Nothobranchius furzeri: one gene and its partners. The protein of the gene in region 5 purifies or fractionates together with the protein of the main gene of each other region. This does not show direct contact. Links are inferred from orthologs where the notes say so. Each region holds a gene or a part of one and is shown on either strand. Other genes may lie near its edges.

Region 1 (4,111 bases), on a different chromosome or scaffold from region 5:
TCCCTTCTCCCTGGGACATACACCTGTGCTGCCTCAAACACGCTGGAAAAGAAGAGCAAACAGTTCATTGTCAAAGCAAAGACCAAAGGTAAAGGGGAAGTATGAGGAACTACATCTGCAAGTAAAACTCTGCATCCTAATTTGTTTTCTGTTGTTCAGGTGTTTAAGGCCCACTAACAGGACTTGAATCAGCTGGAAGAATTTCACTGAGCAGGTTTTATTGCTGCTGCCTCATGAGATGGAAGCATTCAGTAATCAGTGGATGTTTTGATGTATTCTGTTATCATACAGAGTTAGATCTCACAAAGAAGACAAATGAAGATGTTTAGCAAACGCCATTTATTATGTGAAGGTTGATTTTTGTCGTAGTCTACTGTTGTTGTTTTATGTAATAAAATTTCCCTTATTATATATGTACTAGAATATTTTTAATGATCTAATAAGTAAAGAAAATCATAATTTGACAAAGTATAACTACCCTTGATACGCCAATGACTAACAATGTGAAGTTACTGTAAATATGAACTGTTTCTAAATGTTCTTATCTTTATAAATAAAGTTAAATAAACAAAAAATTCTTTTTATGGTTTGATTTTTAAACGTGTATTTTGATAGTTATTAGTGCCAGTTCTGAGTAATGTAAATAAATAAACAAAATTTCCGTACTTGTGAAAAATACCTCCCACCAAAAGATTATGGCTTCTTTAAAATGTAAATTTATACTTTCTGAAGGTTAGTTAATGAAAAAAATATTCAAAATTATTCTATAAATACATTTTATGTTCGGTTACTGCAAAACATTTTGGAATTACATTTAGGTTTTCAAGGCGACGTTGTCAAATTCCTTTGCAACACCAGAGGTCGCTGTTGTTCATTGTCCGGATTTGATTAGATCTCGTTGCGTCACATGATCACTCTCGCGAGAGGAGAATGCATCGCACTAGCTAAGACGTCCAGGTGGGAATCGGCTTTTAGCTCCTTTTGGGTATCCTGATGCTTTAAAATTTGATTACACTATTGCTGCGTTTTCTTTCAGGCATGCCGGAGAAAGATCCGTGTCAAAAACAGGCATGTGCTATTCAAAAGTGTCTGCAAGGTACATTAAATGTAGATGAAAATGCTGCTAGACAGCGGGCGAACCCCACAGTCACATAACTCCGTTCCACTCCTGCAGCCAACAACTACTCGGAGAGTTTGTGTGAGAATGTGATCCGAGAGATGCGGCGGTGCTGTGAAGCTCAGGCCGGGAAATCCATCTGCTGCTCCGGGTTTAGGGAGTCCAAACCAACGGGGAACAAGAGCAACGCATAAAAACATCTCAATCAAATGTCAGTGTGTTTGGCATTTACCGTTGGAATGTATTCATTATTACATGTATCATAATAATTATCATAAAAGTACACACTAAACTTAACACTGGACGTGTAAACGTGTAAAGCTTTAAGATAACACTCCTCCCTGGCAGTGTGATTAACTACAACCAGGTTATGTCCACCGCCCTCTGATCGTGTTAAAATGATCGAATCTTTGCATGCCAGTGAGCTGAAGATCACGTGAGACCATGGACGTAATTTTGGGGGGGGGGGGGGGGGGGGTCAGGGGGACATGTCCCCCCCACTTTTTCCAAAGTCAAGTTTTGACCCCTGCACTTTTTACCATCCAAAAACAATTTTACGCTATATTAAATTCACACTGGTTGAGCTCTAGGACCAAGTGGAAAACAACTGTTTGTGTTGAAGCCTGTTTCCCATTAGAGCATACTGTAAAGATACCCCCCCCCCCCCCCACACACACACACACCCGTGTCCCCCCCACTTCTAAAGTGAAAATTACGTCCATGCGTGAGACTGTTATAAATATGCTTGCTTACAGAAACAAATACATTAAAAGACTGATAGTAGACATCTTGACTGTGATTCTGGTGGCAGACCCAAACTAAACTCCTGATATTTATATTAAAGTGGTCCCAGCTCTCCTCGTGTTTATTCTGCTCAGAGCTCTGGGTTAATGTAAACGTGACGATTCACGATCACCAGGTAAAACATTTAACTGATCTATATTTTTGTCTATTTGTGTGTGTTTTCATGTCCCTGTTCAGGTCTGTAAAAATAGGTTTTTTTATCATCATGCTTGTGAGTAATGCACATATAGAACACACTGTAAGTATTTTCAGAAACATTTAATTTCTAAAAACAATCTCATGTGTGGCAATAATATGTTCCATATTACACCATCCTAACACCAACTTTCATCCTTCAGTCATTACTTCTTTAGAAGCTTCCTAAACAGATTGATAAAGAGAGCAATTATTCTATTATTATTACACATACTATTTTAAAACTGACCATTGCTAACAAAATACTAAAATTCATTGCAAAAGTCATCCATTAATAAATTATTGATCACGTCGAGGTTCCATCTTCACAGTGCAAACATTGAGATTACCAGTTTCAAACTCTTGAAATCATTTAGATTTATTCTAATTGAATGTGTCCAACAAAATGCTTACTGGCACTTATAAGAATGTCCATGTTGGGTGGATGAAGGGCTGAAAGCAAACGAAACAAGAGAAAATTTAACAATTCCAGAGATGAGCTGATTCTGGATTTAAGGGCCAACATGCAGATTTCTTTTTCAACCCTGACCTGCTGAGCTGATACTACTATTTTGGGCTGTTTATGTTTAATGAAAAATCAATCAGATTTTTGGTATTTGGATGATCACTGGTTAAGACGCCATACTGAATACTGGCTTGTTTGGATCTCCAGTCAGCTTTCAGGGTCAGCTCTAATTATTGTTTCTTGAGAAGCGTTTGCTAGTTTATATCTAAACATTTACTTGTGGTTTTTCCATCCAAAGAATAACAAAAAATAAAATGAAAAAAAAAAAAAAAAAAAAAGCTGAACACTATACCATCATCAAGACCTCTCAGCCTCTGTTCTTGGTCCAGTAAAGAAGGTAAGATGTCTCGCTGAGAAAACAGCCTCAGTCTGTGGATGTTTGACAAGGGGGAAAAGTCCAAGAAGATAGTTTTATTCGGTAGAGAAAAACAGTTTGCTTTTTTAAGTTTTACAGAAATGTTTAGATTAGCTGAAAAATAATTGTGTAAGATACTTGATATTTTATAGTACTTTCAGTTTAGCATACAATAATAAGTTAATAAATAAAAGAAAGTCAAAGCACAAATGTGGAGAAAAAGAAGTCACGTCTTGTAAAGAAACTACAAAAATAGTTGTGATGTAAATACTTTTATAATCTGTACAACAGACTAACATTCTGACTAATCTGCTGCTAACCAGGTTTAACTATATGCAATAATATGAGGATAAGGATGGATTGGTACACGATCAGACATTATGGTTTTTATGTAGGCTACACAAATGGTATCTATATAGTGGAAACGATATTTCGGTTGTTTAGAAATCTGAGTAACTACAGTAAAAATACGAAGAAAGAAATGAAGGAAATCTGTTCAGTTCACTTTTGTAACTCATGGTGTTGTGCCGGAAAAAGCCCCTCTGTTCGTATAGGCATTTGTGTCAAACAGACTTTGTTCGAAACCGAACTTTAACTCATACATCTTTACTTGTTTATTAACGGGGTGCGTTTGTGAAAAACTTGGTTTTTCTAGTAAGTTTAACATACGGTCGCAGGCACATACGAGTGCATTTTTTACCACAACACCTGCGTCATACGTGCCTTTTACGTCATGACGTTTAGGCGTGTAGCGGAAGCTTGCAGCAGCGAATCTTTCTAGAATTTTGTAGCAGCATTTGGCTAACTGTCGCTGAGACAGTCCAGCTCCTTCCCTTCTGATAAGACTACAGTCTAATGCGCCGTTGGTAGTTAACACATCTTTCGGAGACTTTGGAAAGCGTCAGAGTGTTGTTGAATTTGTTTTTCCGAGAGTTTTAATTGAAATTATCGAACTCTTAAAACAAGCTAGGTTCTGGTTTACAGGATGTCCAGGATAGATTACAGCGTGTGGGATCACATTGAGGTCTCGGACGATGAAGATGATACCCACCCAAACATTGACACACCCAGCCTCTTCAGATGGAGACACCAGGTACCTTTTTGATTTATAACGTGACTGAGTTTTGATTTTCTT
Region 2 (4,163 bases), on a different chromosome or scaffold from region 5:
ATCCATGGAACAATGTGCTCACTGTAAAGTGAAATTACTCTGCTGCGGATGCAAGAGTCGATGCATTCATATTTACTGAAATTTAAAAGTAAATTCAGAAACGTACGTTTAGAAATCTTGCATATTACCTGATGGGTTCATCTTTTTACCTTTCATGCTGAGTTTAGGGCAGTTTAATCCATAATTATTTTCTAGAAGCTTTTTAATTATATTTCATTGCATAGTCAATTGGATGGTTACTTTTCAATAATGAACTCAATAGCTTCAAAATCCAATTACGTATTAACTAGAAGTATAAAGTTAGCATGTAACATAACTTATTCTTAGTGTAAGGTGACAACAAATGGAAAAGATAGCCTGGTGAATGTTAAATTACTTTAAATAGTATTTAATTAGTTCCTGGGTGGAGAATATAAAATTACATTGAACCTCAGCATCCTACTTCTTGGCAGGGATAATCTGTCACTCCCTAATACAAAATGCTAATCTGACATAATAACTTAATCAGGCAGAAAAAGTTAAGTTACGACTCAAGTTATTGGTTTAACAAAACAGTTCCTGTTGGCATTCTCTTTTAAAGTCCTAATTTAGGAAATGAAAGCACAAATAAACGTATTGCTGCACCGGTTAGGCTTTTATTCTCAATAGCTAGCTAAAAACACCTGTGCAAGTTTAGCCTTAAGCTAATATAGCTGGTGCAACTCCCCCTTTCGTGTTCAAATAACAGCCATAACAGAGCATTAATTAATAATAACAGCACATCATCGCACAAAACAGCTACTAAAGTCGCGCTTTTGTCGGTAACTACAGCGTTAAATAAAAAAAACTAAGATAAAGGCGGAGGAGTTTTTACCGTCTCCCTCAGAAACAGTAATCCGTCAAACCGCGCGACTCATCGGACTCAGAGGTGTACGTCAGTGTCGGTGCTTTGACACGTCTCCGTGTTGCTACGGGGTTCGGTTCGGCTGGGACTGACAGAGAGACGGAGACAGCTCCTCTTGTTGTTGATATGTGTTGTCCGCTGAGCGGAGAGAGGAGGAACACGCTGCAGCGGAACAGGCTGTTCCCGCCCGGCCTGGCACGGAACGGGTTACAGGTCAGGGTGTCTGTTGGAACACTGTGTTCTCATCAGCAGCGGCACAGCTACAGTACAGCCGGAACATTGTGTTACTTTGTGGCTGCTTTCCAAGACCTGCCCTTAATTTTACACTAAACACCCTCCCCACAACTCATCTCGTTTCTGCTTACCCCCGCCACCCCCCTCCACCCCCCTCGCCTCCTCCTGCCTCTGTCATTTTTGTGCGAGTTTGTCTCTGTAGTATCTCCTCAGTGTCATTTTGGAGTCAGAGCTGCGTGTTGCGACCGCACCGGTACTTTCATCACTGAGGAGAGGAAGAAGGAGCAGAGGGGGGTGGGATAAAGACAAAAAGAGTCCATAGCTAAGAACCACATGGGCAGAACACTTAGTACCCTGCTGGATCTGAGATAGGAAGACGCATTTTCTTAGAAATAAACATCCACCGAGTGAATTTGCAGCTGTTCGTCACCGGCAACCATCTGGGGGAAGAAAATAAAAAAGCGGACCTCAAAACATCGTAAGTCTCTTTTAATACACAGATCTTCATCTTTCTGAAATACTTTATTTAATTTAGGAGTTAATTAAAATAATCTTTTTTTTTAAATTTCGTTCACGCCTGGCTGAGTTAAACGGAACTTGTGCACAGTCTCACTAAAGAATAAGAATATACAAGATTATTTAAAGGAGGGGGGAAAGTGAGCCAGGATGGATAGGTTTTGGCTGAATGTGGTCCTTAGCCTTCTTGTGAAGGTCCCAGAAGAGGTTGGTGGATGTTCTCATCCAGGATCCCTCTAGGCTTAGGTGTCCCTTTCATAAATTACAGGGGTTTTGTGCAGGCTACTTCTGAGAATTATAACTCAACTCGACTCTGAGCTGATTCATTACAACCTGGTTACATATTACTGAGCAGCTTGTGAAGAACTCTGAATGTTTAGGTTGACACCAGGTGCTGAGGGGATAAGCACAAAAATGGTCCTCCAAAATTAGTTCCAGCCAGGACTATTCTATAAGTATCTAATAAAAATGCACACATTTTCATCAGCTCAGGTGAAAAAAAATAAAGTTTATTTGTCAGTTAACAACTTATAAAAGTTAAGGTCAGGCATAATTTTTGCCTGGAAAACAAATAGATTTTAATGATTACAGCATTTTTATGATAGACATCTATAAATATCAAGTTATTATCATAATCTTAGCACCATAACAGGTTAATAAAAGAAGTTTAGTTTTTTTGGGGTGTCTGTGTGTGCAGGATTATCAGTGAGTCTCCACTTGTTAGGTATGAATCAGCAACAGAGTACGGATGTGAAACAGAATGTACAGATACACTGTGTGCGTCTCTGGATGTGGTCTTTGGCTCATTGTGTTCTGTTCCTGCATTCCTCCGCAGGGCATCTTAGTTATTGGTACATGAAGCCTACGTACCATCTTATCAGTGCTGGAACAATTTACACCCTGTTTCTGCTTTTGCAAAGTGTCAATATTTTATTTACGAGGAAGAGATGACAGAAATACACCAAAAAGAAGGGCGAGATCACAATGATGGGATGAGTAACTTTTTACTTGTCTGCAATCATCAGTGATGATAAGCAGTCACAACGCTGGTTTATCTCAGTTTAAATCATGTGGGGGGTAAAAAATGTGAGTGTATGCAAAATTTACCAAATTAGAACAGCTTATTTGCCTTTTTTTTGTTAAATAAAATTAAAGCTGGTGCATCAGGGGGGTTTAAGGTTGATGAACGCTGTTGGGCTTTGCCGGTGGCGAACTGTGAATAGAAGGAACATTGTGTTCAGACACACACATGGACACACGAGTTACATGAGTTACATCTGAAATGACATCCGTGGAATTTAAAAGACACGGGGAAGGGTGGAGCTGCTGATGGACGGACGTTTTGGGACATTTTTCAGGATAAAAACTGTATTTTTCCATACAAGTACAAAAGTGAGGATGCGGGGTAAAGTGATGCCAGTCAAGACGGCTCTTTGTGGTTTCAACCTGTGTGATGAGGAGCATGGAAAGTGCCTCAGCATCATAAGAAATCATTTAGAAACGATTCAAATTCTATTTCCTGATCAGTATGCAAAACAAGGATTCTGCTGCTCAGCCTGTCGTTTAATAATTAGAGGTTTATTTACATGGTCTTCTTTTTATGCAGAGAAGCATCTTTTTGCTCATTCGTGATATCTGCAAAGAATGACGGACCCTTCTGTGTAATTAACGGAAAATAAATCTACTAATAAGAGCTGCTTTTATTAAAGCGAGTTCACAGTAAAGTCTGTGTTCGCGAGGCTGCTTTCTGATCAGTTTTGCCTTTACTGGAGATATTTCTTATCTTAGTTTATAAAGCTTCTTATAAACATAAAAACCAAAGCCTTTAACATGTTTGTTGGTCCAAGAGTCAAGTGTTTAAGTCATTAGAGTCACATCTTGTCTCTCTTTGTCCGCCAGATGAAAGAACACAAAGTTCTTTTCCTTTGTTTAGATTTCCAGACTTCTCTCTTTAGAGCAAAAACAATAAAAATGATTATTAAACTGAGAAAAATTTCTTTCTACCAGATGATGTGCAAGTATACACCTATGTTGAGTTTTAAAACGTTTTTTAAGAGAGAATTATTTGGTGATTGTGGTACTTGAGAAAAACAAACAAACAAAAAAAAAAAACCAATACTGGTAAATGCCACTTTTATTTGTTTTGTTTCAACTTTGACCGCAGTAACGTTCCTACGATCCAAAGCAGCTGAGCTCTGATGAAATGTGTTAATGTCTCAGCTGATTATAACCATCCACCAGTGTTTGCCAGCATGCTTACCATAGCTGCGTTACATTTTCCTCTTCTTTGTACAATGTCAAGGTAGTTACGTCAGGGGTGACTTTCTTAGATGGGAGTAAAATGGAGCGAATGGACGATGATTGCTGCTGTGATTAAAAAGTCAACAAGCTTTAAAGGTGACATGTTATTCCAGTTTTTATTGCTCTGGCAAAGCTTCTGTTGATTTTTCCTTTTTCCACATGGATGTGCGAGATGCTGGCAGCAGATTTCTGCTCGCCTGTTGGGCTATATACTGAACATTTTTGGTAC
Region 3 (4,235 bases), on a different chromosome or scaffold from region 5:
AGCAACCAAACATGATCTTTAAATGCAAAATACAGCAATGCGTCCCTCAGTTTATAAAACACACCAAGCCAATTCAGATGAATCCACCATTTAGTTTCAATACCTTCATGTTCTTTGAGAAAGCCTCGTAGAATTTCTTGTAGTTGTCTTTGTCCTCCGACAGTTCTGCAAACAGCTCCAAGCACTTCTTGACTATGTTTTTGCGAATAACCTTCAGGATCTTGCTTTGCTGCAGCATTTCTCTGGAGATGTTGAGGGGCAGGTCCTCAGAGTCCACAACACCACGGATGAAGTCTTGAGTGGACAAAGTAATTTTAAATGCATTAGCCATTTAAAGAGTCTGTGGAATCATTTCAGACCACAGTGGAAAATGCAGCTGAACTTACTCAGATACTCAGGAATGAGCTCCTCACAGTTGTCCATGATGAAGACCCGCCTGACGTACAGCTTGATGTTGTTCTTCTTTTTCTTGTTCTCGAAGAGGTCAAAGGGTGCACGGCGAGGAATAAAGAGCAGGGCTCTGAACTCCAGCTGGCCTTCCACAGAGAAGTGCTGAAAGAAAATAAAGCATTAGAAAAAAAATCAGCCCGCAGGGTTAAAACTTTGTCGGAAACTCGTGTACCTTGACAGCCAGGTGATCCTCCCAGTCATTTGTTAGACTCTTGTAGAATTCACCATATTCTTCATTTGTGATGTCATCGGGGTTCCTGGTCCAGATGGGCTTGGTCTTGTTCAGCTCCTCCTGATCAATGTACTTCTCCTTGATCTTTTTCTTCTTCTTCTTGTCCTTGTCTTTGGAATCCTCCTCATCATCTGAACCCACATCTTCAATCTTGGGCTTGTCTTCAGCTTCTTCTTCTTTCTCCTCTTTCTCGGTCTTTTCCTCCTCTGCCTCGTCGTCACTAATCTCCTTGTCGCGCTCCTTCTCCACCTGCGACATAAAAGCTTTAGAAATCTGCCCAAGACTTAAAATTTTTAAAACGTACTTTTAAGCACTTACAAACAAGGTGATGGGGTAGCCAATGAATTGAGAGTGCTTCTTAACGATCTCCTTGACCCTCTTGTCCTCCACATACTCTGTCTGGTCCTCCTTCAGGTGCAGAATGATCTTAGTTCCACGGCCAATGGGCTCGCCTGAAAACATTTGAGGAATTTTCAGAAAAGCTAAAATAAACTAGAGTAAGCAAGTAGTGCACACTCAGACGTCACTGGTGATGGTTAGAATTACACACCGCTGTCAACCTTGACTGTGAAGGAACCTCCAGCAGATGACTCCCAGGCGTACTGCTCATCATCATTGTGTTTGGTGATGACGACCACTTTCTCAGCAACAAGATAAGCAGAGTAAAAACCCACACCGAACTGACCAATCATTGAGATGTCAGCACCAGCCTGGAGGAATAAAACAAATTTAGCTTCACAAGATCAGTCAGTCTCTTAAGATCCTGTGCAGGCCATTATGGGATGCGTAGTACCTGGAGGGCCTCCATGAAGGCCTTTGTGCCCGACTTGGCGATGGTGCCCAGGTTGTTAATAAGGTCAGCTTTGGTCATGCCAATCCCGGTGTCAATCAGGGTCAAAGTCCGGTCAGCTTTGTTGGGAATGATGTCAATTTTCAGATCTTTGCCAGTGTCCAGTTTTGAGGGGTCAGTCAAGCTTTCATAGCGGATTTTGTCCAGAGCCTGAAAACAGGGAATAGCGGTTAGTTTCTTCCTTAAAGTCAGAAGAATACTGAAGCTTCAGCAGACTCACATCAGAAGCGTTTGAGATCAACTCCCTAAGGAAGATCTCTTTGTTGGAGTAGAAGGTGTTGATGATCAGGGACATCAGCTGAGCGATCTCTGCCTGGAAGGCAAAGGTCTCAACCTCCTCCTCTTGGTGCATTTCTTCAGGCATCTGAAAATATAACAAAGTCACTTCAGTAAATGAAAGTGAAACAGAACTTAAGATAGTTTCAAAGTAACGCGATTTCGTCAAGTGGCTTCATTAAGTTGGATGGCCGCTGCAGCAGTCTGCTACATAAGGGCGGAAGTGTCAGTTAACAAACATGGCTTCTACTAGACAATGGACGCAGCAAACACGTGCTGGCGAACGATTAAGGCGGATCAACTCAAGTCACTTTAATAGATAAACAATGCGACGACGACTTCCATAAATACTACAAACGTACTTGTTTTAGCCTCCATGTGATAGTTTCAGTAAAACGTGGAGGTTAATTGAAACCGCGTTCAATTACGTAACGACCAAATGAACACTACCCCTCGTGGCTGGTAACCAGGCCTTATTACGCACACATTAAACTCAGTGTACCGGTTTAACGTGGGTTTATAACGGATTTAATCAGGCCGAGAACTCGATCCAGCGGAGTCACCGTCACCACACCTGCCTGACATCACGGTGCCGCATTCCCGCTGCTCAAGAGCATCACTACGATGCTCGGAAACATAAGCAAATAGTAGTCTCTCGAGAGGAAAATGAAAACATCAGCCGACGTACTAGGCGTCTGTCTTCCACGAAACACTTATTCGACCACCATATTAACCTCTGGATTTTCATTAACTAATAATGTTCGTTAAACACATACATACCGATGATATTTTAACAAACTTATAAAGGTAAGGATGTCTGACACGAGCTACGGACCCGTTAATGTACGCACCTTGGTAATTTCGTTGACTTTTTCTTGAATAAAATGCAGCAAAAGTGTAGTCCCTTGCGCTCCCTGACTGAAGAAAAAGGAAAGGAACTACTTTTCGGCACCAGACCAGTCTTTATACACGTGGGTCGCAGTGTGCAGTCGTATCCATCCGCAGTTCACGAGCTACAACCTGAAGCAATCACTTTTATGTAAAACCGCAGCCAGAACTAAACACACATTGTATGCTTCCTCACTGGAAAAGAATAATCTATTATTCACGTTTTGTTGGGTAAAAAGGGTTTAAATGCCAATTATGCAATCTAAGTAAAGAAAATGTATACGAAGTCGGACCTTAGTGTAACGTTGTCGCCATCTTGTGGTAGGTTGAGCTACAGCAAACCATGCACTGAGAGGCGATGTTTTTTGATCTCAATCATCCCATCTAGCGACAACATAGAGAAATGATTCGCATAACACTAAAACCACGCGTCAAGTTCAAATCTCAAGTGGCGTCTAGTTTCCCTGAAATTCGACATAGACTGTGGGTCTTTTTACTCCGACGGATGAATATTTCAAACACGAGAAGGTGTGCTTCGTTTCTTCTAGCCTGCTTCTAGCACTTTCCATGAAAGCCCCGCCTTAAAGTGACGTCACAGATCTCCCCCTTTCCTCTCCCGACGTATCATCTGTCACAAAATGTTCCTACAGCAAAAACGCCTTAACAACCATCAACTCAACCCTTTTCCGTACTGAATCATGAGAATATATGCTTTATATTGTCAAATGAACTAATGGTTGTTATTATATGAATTACAGATTTTCTTATGGACATAGAACACCAGTGGAAGATGGACTGCTATACATAAATGTAATACTATATTTGTCATGTTGATCACGACTTTGGAATTGAGTTTTTAGTACAGTGTAAGGGGAAGAAGTCACTGTTGTCAAGTGGATTAGAGTGGAATAAATGTACGCAGTTAGACCCATCAAATGCAAGAGATGCACAAATGATTATGATTCAGCTTTCTATTATGTAGTTTAACTACAGAAGACACATTTATAAATTTAGATAGTAACCTCAGTGATAAATAACAGAAGTACAGTCATACTTTGCATACAGAATATGTTATTTATTAGTTACAATTTCAGAATTGGTAAGAATGACCATTTTAACAATAATGTACACAGAATTTTTATGTACTCTTTTAAAAAACATTTAAAAAGAAGTTTAACATTGAAATAATCATATGATGGCTTTATCCTCTAATTGATTAAAACGAGTAGGAAAATCACAATGCTGTTTTTTTATGTGATCAGATGTTTTGTAAATTAAACCGATTAGAAACAAATCGTTTTAATAAAAAAAATGCGGACCGCTTTTTTGGTGTAACTTAATTTCAATGCTATTATTATTCAACCTTTTTTATTCATTTAGTTACTACCGCGCATTAGGTCTTCCAAGGTTAGTTAGGTAATCTGATCGAACCCTGTTAGCAGAAGTTTCGTTTCCTGAAAAGGGTTCATTTTGCGAATTCACATTAAGCCCCGTTCAGTGTATACACTCTGGTGCACAAAACAAGCGCGCCAGTACTCT
Region 4 (4,059 bases), on a different chromosome or scaffold from region 5:
TTGTGCTGATTTACAGTTTAACAGGTAACTTCTAATGAACAGATGGAATTTTTTTCAAGAGCTTGTGAAATCTGCTTGTGTCGGTTTGGGATCACCTTGTTTGTGTGGATGTAGTTTTCCCCAAAATAATTCTTGTTAATCATTTCTATAAATGTCCCCAAAACAGGGAATGACGCATTAGGGTGGCCACCTTAAGGGACGTCCACCACAGCTTCTCTGGACCATGGGTAACTGTTACAGGACCTTTTGAAACAAGATCTTTATAATTGTTGAACTATTTACATAAAAGGATTAGGGCCACTGAAGAAGAAGTTCTTTTTCTCTTTTCTGAGGGAAAAATAATCAGAATTCTGAGGTTAAGGTTAGACGTCTCATAAATATTTACACCATTTTGTTCCTATTAGATTTTGAGTTTAGGAAGAAAACTTTTGCCAAAAGTGTATGAATGTATTTTTTGTACCAGATATTTATATTTAGGGAAATTATTTTTAAAAAATAGATGTAAAAATCTCATGGGTACTTTAAAGCAGCAACCTGGAGTTTCCCCCCTTCCAAGAATTATTTATGATTTTCTTTTAATCCATAAAAGCCTGTACTGTGATAACCAAGGCAATACATCTTTTTGAAATTTTCTTGGCGATTTTTGGGGGAGGTTGAAATCACGGCTCCCCCAAAAGGGTAATCAGCTCCCCCGGAAGCCATCAAACGACATACACATGGGGAGCTCGAAAAGAAGATTGGACGGAGAGGTGATCAGAGGGAAGACGAGCCCAGACTGATGCAGAGTTGGTAACATTTCTTATGGACAAGTAAGTCTTTAAAATATACATGATAAACAGCACAACATGACTGTTCATAAAAAGGCCATAATCATGGAAACTGAGAGGCCTAGGGGTGTAATGCAGTTTTCACCTCTAGATGACAGGTGTCACTGCGTTGTGGGAATTCAGTTCAATTAATCCATAACAAAAGGCTGCTTAAATCTCACTTTTTCTATTATATCTATGATTATTATAAAGTAAAAGCCATTCTGGAAGGTCCACTGTGGCTCCAGAGTTGCGGGTTGCAGACCACCACAGGCTTTCATCTGTAGTCTGGAGTGAAAATGAATTATATATATATATATAGGCCTGGATAAGTTTATCAGAATAACTTGATTACTTTACCAATCTGCCTAATAAAAATTATGCCCAAATAAATCAAGACACATTACTTAAAACTGCAAAGTGAGTTGGAACATTATAGGTCTTTTATTTCCGTGGACCTGGAGGAGCTTGCTCACGGACCTCTGCTGGTCCACGCTCCTTACGATTGGGAGCTCCAGCTCTGGTCTCCTCGGGAACTTTCTGCCGGAGTGAAGGAAGTCCATGTTAGGAAATGTTCCCCCCATGGGGCGCTGCTGCTGCCTGCCTCAGTCCGAGGATTTACACCCAGCTGGACGGCTCGGAGGGACACACACTGGATTTTGCGCTCACCGAGGGAAAGCACTGTAGCCATCATCTTCGTCTTCATTATGGCTCAAGCGAAAATACAAGCGAAAATGAACGAAGCTGCCCTCTGCAGCAAGTTCAGCAGGACGCTTTCTATGGCAGACCGCTCGGGGCGACTCCTGGAAAGTTTGGATCAGCTGGAAACGAGGTAACAGGCCCTTGTTGTACCATGTGTGCTACGGAGCCGCTATTTGCCCCGGCCGCTAACATTTATTGGCATAAACCTTTTATAAACACTGTAAACAGGGCAATGTGACAATAAATGTTTTTCATAACAAACATAACTGGTTTGCAGCGTGTTATTTCATATGCTGTCTCTCTTTCTGTGTCAGAGTGGAGGCTTTACGAGAAGCAGCATCTGCCATGGAGCAGGAAAGGGAGTGCATCCTGGAAATGATTCAGTCCATACAGAACAGTCAAGAAATGAGGAACATCTGTGCTGGTGAAGCTGCTAACTCTCTCTTAACTTACATAAGCGCAAAAGTCACGCACGGCTTAATGCCAGGGAAGATACGCGGTTATAAAGGGGAACTAGTACGGTTAATGTATTTCTACCAGAATCCCATCTCCTCTGATCTCACCCAGACCCAGTTTGTGTGAACCAGGCTCATGTTTCACCTCTGGATCGTGTGAGTCAATAGCCTACATCTGGTTTATTGATTTGGTTCCGCTGTAAACAGACAAAAAGGCCTAACCCTTAAAGCTCATTATTTAAATCCAGAGTCTGACCAGGGTAGACCGTCTAGTCATGTTGGTTTATGCTCCATTAAACCTCATTAATGTAAGTTAGTATGATTCACACGAGCTCCATGGTTCACCTAGAAACTCCTCTCAACTGGTCAGGGATTTGAAAGAAGGGCTTTATGTAAAGGTGCATTATGTAAGACTGACATCCTGTGGTCAAATTTGGTTACTGCAGACCACATTTGTAAGCAAAAGTCACTGCCGTGAGTGTCAATCAAAATCAAATCAAAGATACTTTATTAATCCCAGAGGGAAATTAGAGTTTCAGTACACACAATTCAGAGATCAGACATACATGGGCAAGACATATGACAAGAATTGGTGACTGTGGTCATTCGCAACCCTGAGTCGTGCTAATTGAGATCAGAGGGTTACATGAGGATTGGTTCAGGTGGAGGGAAAAAAAGGCACTTCAGAGTTACCCTCCACTGGGAAGGCAGCTTTGCTATGCAAAAAAAAAAAAAACACCCACCTCCGACAGAGATGCAACAGACTTCAGGCATTACACAATATAAGTGTCCACTAGGTGGGGAGGTGGGTTGGGATTATCCCTACTTCAGTTCCTGCAGCCACGATAGATTCTCATGGCGCAAAAGGGCCTGTTACAGATCAGCACCAGAAGATTCTAGATGACAAGAAAAGATGAGTTATAACCTAATCTTTGAATAAAATTTGCAAACATAACCGAACATTCTGTCCGTTAAACACTAGGCAGTCCGGCTCCGACTTTGCTTCCTGTTCAACTACTCTAAGCCAAGAATGCGCAATACATCCACAAATACGGGTATGCGCATACAGCGGAGGGACTGTCAGAGGGGAGTTTGATGGATGGATCATGATTCAGTCATTAAGAACGGGATTGCATGTTTCAGAGGAAATGAAAATTATTAGTTTTTCGACAAAGCATTTACTTTATTGGTTGCTGTACGATGTGATGACCATAACAAGCAATATGGCAAAAAATGCTCCAGAGAAACATCGTCCATCCCAATAAAAAATATGTTTGGAAATGTTATTGCATTCATTTCTTCCAATTAATATCAGTGGTATTTTGGTGTCAGCTTGTTATTATTGACAAGTTGGCAGAATCATGGAGAACATCATGAATATTGCTTAACAGGTTTCAGTGGGGGCAGTATTATGGTGTGGGGTGGGATCTCAGACAAATCAGAGCTTGTACTCATTGAAATAAACTTTTAGAAATATGAAATGACTATTGATGTGCTGTTACAGCCGCATTAAAAGCAGTTTCTTTCCTATAAAGATTTAGTAATATGTTTACATGTCTTCTAGGTGAGAGGGAAGAGTTATCTTTGACTGCGAACCGTCTGATGGGCCGAACGTTGTCTGTGGAGATCTCTGTTGGCACAATCAGAAACCCCCAACAGGAGGATGCACTACTCAAGGCCACGTCTATGATAGACGAGATTGTGAAAAAGCTGCTGAGCGACATGGAAGGTGGCCGTCAGCAGCTGCTGGCCCTGCACGCTGCCTGCGTCACGGAGGCACCGCTCGTCCCTATTGACCAGAAGTTTCAGACCGTGGTGATCAGCTGCGCTCTGGAGGACCAGAAGAAGATAAAGCGAAGGCTGGAGACTCTGCTGAGGAACGTTGAAAATGCCGAAAAGAACATCAAGATAATGGATCACCAAAAACTGGAGGGCACAAAAGCTAACGGGGGTCACTGAGACCCTTTGCCGAGGTGTCTTGAATTCCACTAACCTCACAGAAAGCTATAGTTAGCTTTTACACATTTAATTAATTTCAGATGGACTCTGCTTGAAGCAGCAAGGAGAGGTCTTATGGGAAAATGCCATACCGAATT
Region 5 (3,500 bases):
AGATTGATTTCCAGTTGAGATTTGATGTGTTTACAAAGTGTAAAGTGTATAGATATGTATGTATATACTTGTACAGTCACACATAGATACCACCTGTATGTATGTGTAAATATTAATCTGTGTATGCATCTACGTAAACCTTTTCAAACATGCTTCTGTTGGCAGGTGAACGTCCGACATGAACAGACTGTGTACGAGGTTCTTGATAAAGCCCTCAAGGTTCGAGGGCTGAATCAGGACTGCTGTGCTGTGTTTCGTTTGTTAGAGGGGTAATATGTCCTCACTTACTTTTCCACATCTACTCTTGATTATTTTAACCCTTTGGTGCATAATGGTCACTACAGTGGACAGGTACTCAAAACTGTTATTTATTTGTTTTTGCTACTAAGCTCAGCTGTTGAAGACTTTATTGCATTTGAGCCGCTCCATTTGGACTTCAGGAAGCCAAGCCAACATATTTCATGCTCAGAATGCACGCTGTCCACTGAGGTGAACACGTAATAAATTATTTGTAAATTATAAAATTTGACAAAAAATATTTGTTGAAATTTGTTTCATTCACACGTAAAGACGAATGAAAAAAATTGTTTAAAAAATCATGGTTGAAGATTTCATAATTCATGCATCAAAGGGTTAATCAAACCACCCTCAGTGAGAGGAATATGTTGATGACACCTGATTCTCAGTGATGTATTAGGTCTGAGCAGCACGTGTTCAGGAAGATCGTAGCTTTTGAGTGTTTGACTTGAGGCTTCGCCATGGTCGGGCAGTGTCCTGAATTCCTTTATATTTAGCCATGAATGCTACTGCTACCACCACCAGTACTACTACTACTACTACCACTACCACCAACACTACTACTACTACCACTACCACCAACACTACTACTAACACTACCACCGTCACTACTACTAACACTACTACTACTAACACTACCACTGTCACTACTACTACCACTACCACCAACACTACTACTACTACCACTACCACCAACACTACTACTACTACCACTACCACCAACACTACTACTACTACCACTACCACCAACACTACTACTAACACTACCACCGTCACTACTACTAACACTACTACTACTAACACTACCACTGTCACTACTACTAACACTACTACTACTAACACTACCACTGTCACTACTACTAACACTACTACTATTAACACTACCACCGTCACTACTACTAACACTACTACTACTAACACTACCACTGTCACTACTACTAACACTACCACCGTCACTACTACTACTACTACTACTACTAACACTACCACTGTCACTACTACTAACACTACCACCACCACTACTACTACTACTACTAACACTACCACCATCACTACTACTACTACTACTAACACTACCACTGTCACTACTACTAACACTACCACCACCAGTACTACTACTACTACTAACACTACCACCGTCACCACTACTAACACTACCACCACCAGTACTACTACTACTACTAACACTACCACCATCACTACTACTACTAACACTACCACTGTCACTACTACTAACACTACCACCACCAGTACTACTACTACTACTAACACTACCACTGTCACTACTACTAACACTACCACCACCAGTACTACTACTACTACTAACACTACCACTGTCACTACTACTAACACTACCACCACCAGTACTACTACTACCACCACCACCTCTACTACTACTACTACTACTACTAACAACACCACCACCACTACTACTGCTATTACTACTACTACTACTACTACTACTACTACTAACACCACCACCACCACTACTACTACTACTACTAACACCACCACCACCACTACTACTACTAACACTACCACTGTCACTACCACTAACACTACCACCACCAGTACTACTACTACCACCACCACCTCTACTACTACTACTACTACTACTACTAACAACACCACCACCACTACTACCGCTATTACTACTACTACTACTACTACTAACACCACCACCACCACTACTACTACTACTACTAACACCACCACCACCACTACTACTACTACTACTAACACCACCACCACCACCACCACCACCACCACCACCACTACTACTACTACTACTACTACTATTACTATTACTACTTCCAATACTACTACCACCATTACTATCACTTCTACTACTACTTCTACCACCACCTCCTCAAGGAGGTCAATGGTCAACTTTCCTGGAGGGGTCACCCAATAGGACAGTGGGAGAGTTAAATATTTATATTAATATTTATGCATTGTTCGTGTGTGTGTGTGTGTGTGTGTGTGTGTGTGTGTGTGTGTGTGTGTGTGTGTGCGCGTGTGTGTGTGTGCCTGCTCTGTCTTCTCGATCCCCAGTGAGTCGTGGAGGATGGCTGCTTATACTGAGCGAGGATCCTCTGGAGGTTTCTTCCTGTTAAAAGGGAGTTTTCCTCTCCACTGTCGCTGCATGCTTGCTTAGTATGAGGATTGCTGTAAAGACTCTGACACTAGTCAGTGACTCGATGCCACCTGCTGGGTTCCTTATAAAAGAAACTTTTTACTGATTGGCTTAATGACCTGACCTGTATTGGAATGTTTACCAAGTGCCTTGAGACAACTCGTCGTGATTTGGCGCTTTATAAATAAACCGAATTGAATTGATTAGGACTAAACGCAGACGGGTGTGGCGACTCCTGAAGGAAAAAGACAAAAGAGAAAGAAATAGTTTTTCCTTCTCAGAATGAATTAGAAATGTCTTAAGTTTTGGTTTTAGAGGCTATCAGTCTCTTCTAAACGATTTGGGATCCTTTGAAAATCACGTGATTGGATCGGAACATCCCTACTTTAAACTATTTGTTCGCTAAAGCCTTATGAATTTGATTACTCATTGTTACTGTCTACTAACGCCTTATCGATCCAGCGTGAGCAGATGCCTTTTTAGATGGTCATCAGTAGAGTGAAGTGAATTCATGTGTTCATGTGGAATGCTGCCCAGCTCCTAGTGTGTGATGCTCTGTTCTGGTCTGGTTCCACAGCCGTAAGAGACTGACAGACTGGAAAACTGACATCACTCCTTTGGTGGGAGAGGAGTTGTTAGTGGAAGTCCTGGATGATATTCCACTCACCATGCACAACTATGTGAGTCCTAGCAGCTTCTGCAGCCAGTATTTATGATCCTGTCTTTAGTCTTAAAGACGTTGCTGTAGATGAGTGGTTTCATGCTGTGGTTCTCTTCAGGTACGAAAGACGTTTTTCAAGCTGGCTTACTGTGACTTCTGCCACAAGTTTCTTTTCAATGGCTTCAGATGTCAGACGTGTGGCTACAAATTCCACCAACACTGTAGCAGCAAGGTCCCCACCGTCTGTGTGGACACGGACATGAAAAGCAAACGGTGAGATGGACTCGAAGTCTATGAGATGATCATTTAGGTTTTGCATTGGCCCTAAAACACTCAGGGTCCCCCACTTGTCTGTTTGTCTCTGTGGGATGTCTCTTTGACGGGTTTAGAAACGCATTATACTCT

Evidence for each region. Proteins that work in one complex are often made in the same cells at the same time.
Region 1: the proteins of araf (region 5) and cdc37 purify together in Homo sapiens (affinity purification with mass spectrometry; 7 studies listed by BioGRID and IntAct, with this or other methods). This does not show direct contact. The link is inferred for Nothobranchius furzeri from reciprocal best matches to the Homo sapiens genes ARAF and CDC37.
Region 2: the proteins of araf (region 5) and fkbp5 purify together in Homo sapiens (affinity purification with mass spectrometry; 4 studies listed by BioGRID and IntAct, with this or other methods). This does not show direct contact. The link is inferred for Nothobranchius furzeri from reciprocal best matches to the Homo sapiens genes ARAF and FKBP5.
Region 3: the proteins of araf (region 5) and hsp90ab1 purify together in Homo sapiens (affinity purification with mass spectrometry; 5 studies listed by BioGRID and IntAct, with this or other methods). This does not show direct contact. The link is inferred for Nothobranchius furzeri from reciprocal best matches to the Homo sapiens genes ARAF and HSP90AB1.
Region 4: the proteins of araf (region 5) and bag2 purify together in Homo sapiens (affinity purification with mass spectrometry; 3 studies listed by BioGRID and IntAct, with this or other methods). This does not show direct contact. The link is inferred for Nothobranchius furzeri from reciprocal best matches to the Homo sapiens genes ARAF and BAG2.

Annotation. Positions count from the first base shown.
Region 1 is NC_091745.1:3,429,164-3,433,274, forward strand, and holds the start of cdc37 (hsp90 co-chaperone Cdc37), read left to right. Parts: upstream 1-1,311; 5' UTR 1,312-1,326; coding exon 1,327-1,328; exon of another isoform or gene 1,329-1,334; intron 1,335-2,098; exon of another isoform or gene 2,099-2,159; intron 2,160-3,718; exon of another isoform or gene 3,719-3,960; coding exon 3,961-4,069; intron 4,070-4,111. Other genes in the region: uncharacterized protein, read left to right, coding at 1-88, 160-167; cmc4 (cx9C motif-containing protein 4), read left to right, coding at 1,039-1,096, 1,175-1,311. UniProt on the Homo sapiens protein: Co-chaperone that binds to numerous kinases and promotes their interaction with the Hsp90 complex, resulting in stabilization and promotion of their activity. Inhibits HSP90AA1 ATPase activity.
Region 2 is NC_091743.1:66,802,749-66,806,911, reverse strand, and holds the start of fkbp5 (peptidyl-prolyl cis-trans isomerase FKBP5), read left to right. Parts: upstream 1-1,363; 5' UTR 1,364-1,595; intron 1,596-4,163. UniProt on the Homo sapiens protein: Immunophilin protein with PPIase and co-chaperone activities. Component of unligated steroid receptors heterocomplexes through interaction with heat-shock protein 90 (HSP90).
Region 3 is NC_091742.1:8,415,726-8,419,960, forward strand, and holds the start of hsp90ab1 (heat shock protein HSP 90-beta), read right to left. Parts: upstream 2,801-4,235; 5' UTR 2,660-2,800; intron 1,897-2,659; coding exon 1,753-1,896; intron 1,683-1,752; coding exon 1,476-1,682; intron 1,393-1,475; coding exon 1,233-1,392; intron 1,135-1,232; coding exon 1,001-1,134; intron 932-1,000; coding exon 623-931; intron 553-622; coding exon 387-552; intron 295-386; coding exon 104-294; intron 1-103. UniProt on the Homo sapiens protein: Molecular chaperone that promotes the maturation, structural maintenance and proper regulation of specific target proteins involved for instance in cell cycle control and signal transduction. Undergoes a functional cycle linked to its ATPase activity.
Region 4 is NC_091752.1:19,643,860-19,647,918, reverse strand, and holds the start of bag2 (BAG family molecular chaperone regulator 2), read left to right. Parts: upstream 1-1,259; 5' UTR 1,260-1,513; coding exon 1,514-1,638; intron 1,639-1,822; coding exon 1,823-1,932; intron 1,933-3,527; coding exon 3,528-3,922; 3' UTR 3,923-4,059. UniProt on the Homo sapiens protein: Co-chaperone for HSP70 and HSC70 chaperone proteins. Acts as a nucleotide-exchange factor (NEF) promoting the release of ADP from the HSP70 and HSC70 proteins thereby triggering client/substrate protein release.
Region 5 is NC_091757.1:26,534,323-26,537,822, reverse strand, and holds part of araf (serine/threonine-protein kinase A-Raf), read left to right. Parts: intron 1-165; coding exon 166-269; intron 270-714; coding exon of another isoform or gene 715-782; intron 783-936; coding exon of another isoform or gene 937-1,080; intron 1,081-1,731; coding exon of another isoform or gene 1,732-1,856; intron 1,857-2,576; coding exon of another isoform or gene 2,577-2,669; intron 2,670-2,909; coding exon of another isoform or gene 2,910-2,947; intron 2,948-3,011; coding exon 3,012-3,114; intron 3,115-3,213; coding exon 3,214-3,368; intron 3,369-3,500. Other genes in the region: sericin-1-like, read right to left, coding at 715-782, 937-1,080, 1,732-1,856, 2,577-2,669, 2,910-2,947. UniProt on the Homo sapiens protein: Involved in the transduction of mitogenic signals from the cell membrane to the nucleus. May also regulate the TOR signaling cascade. Phosphorylates PFKFB2.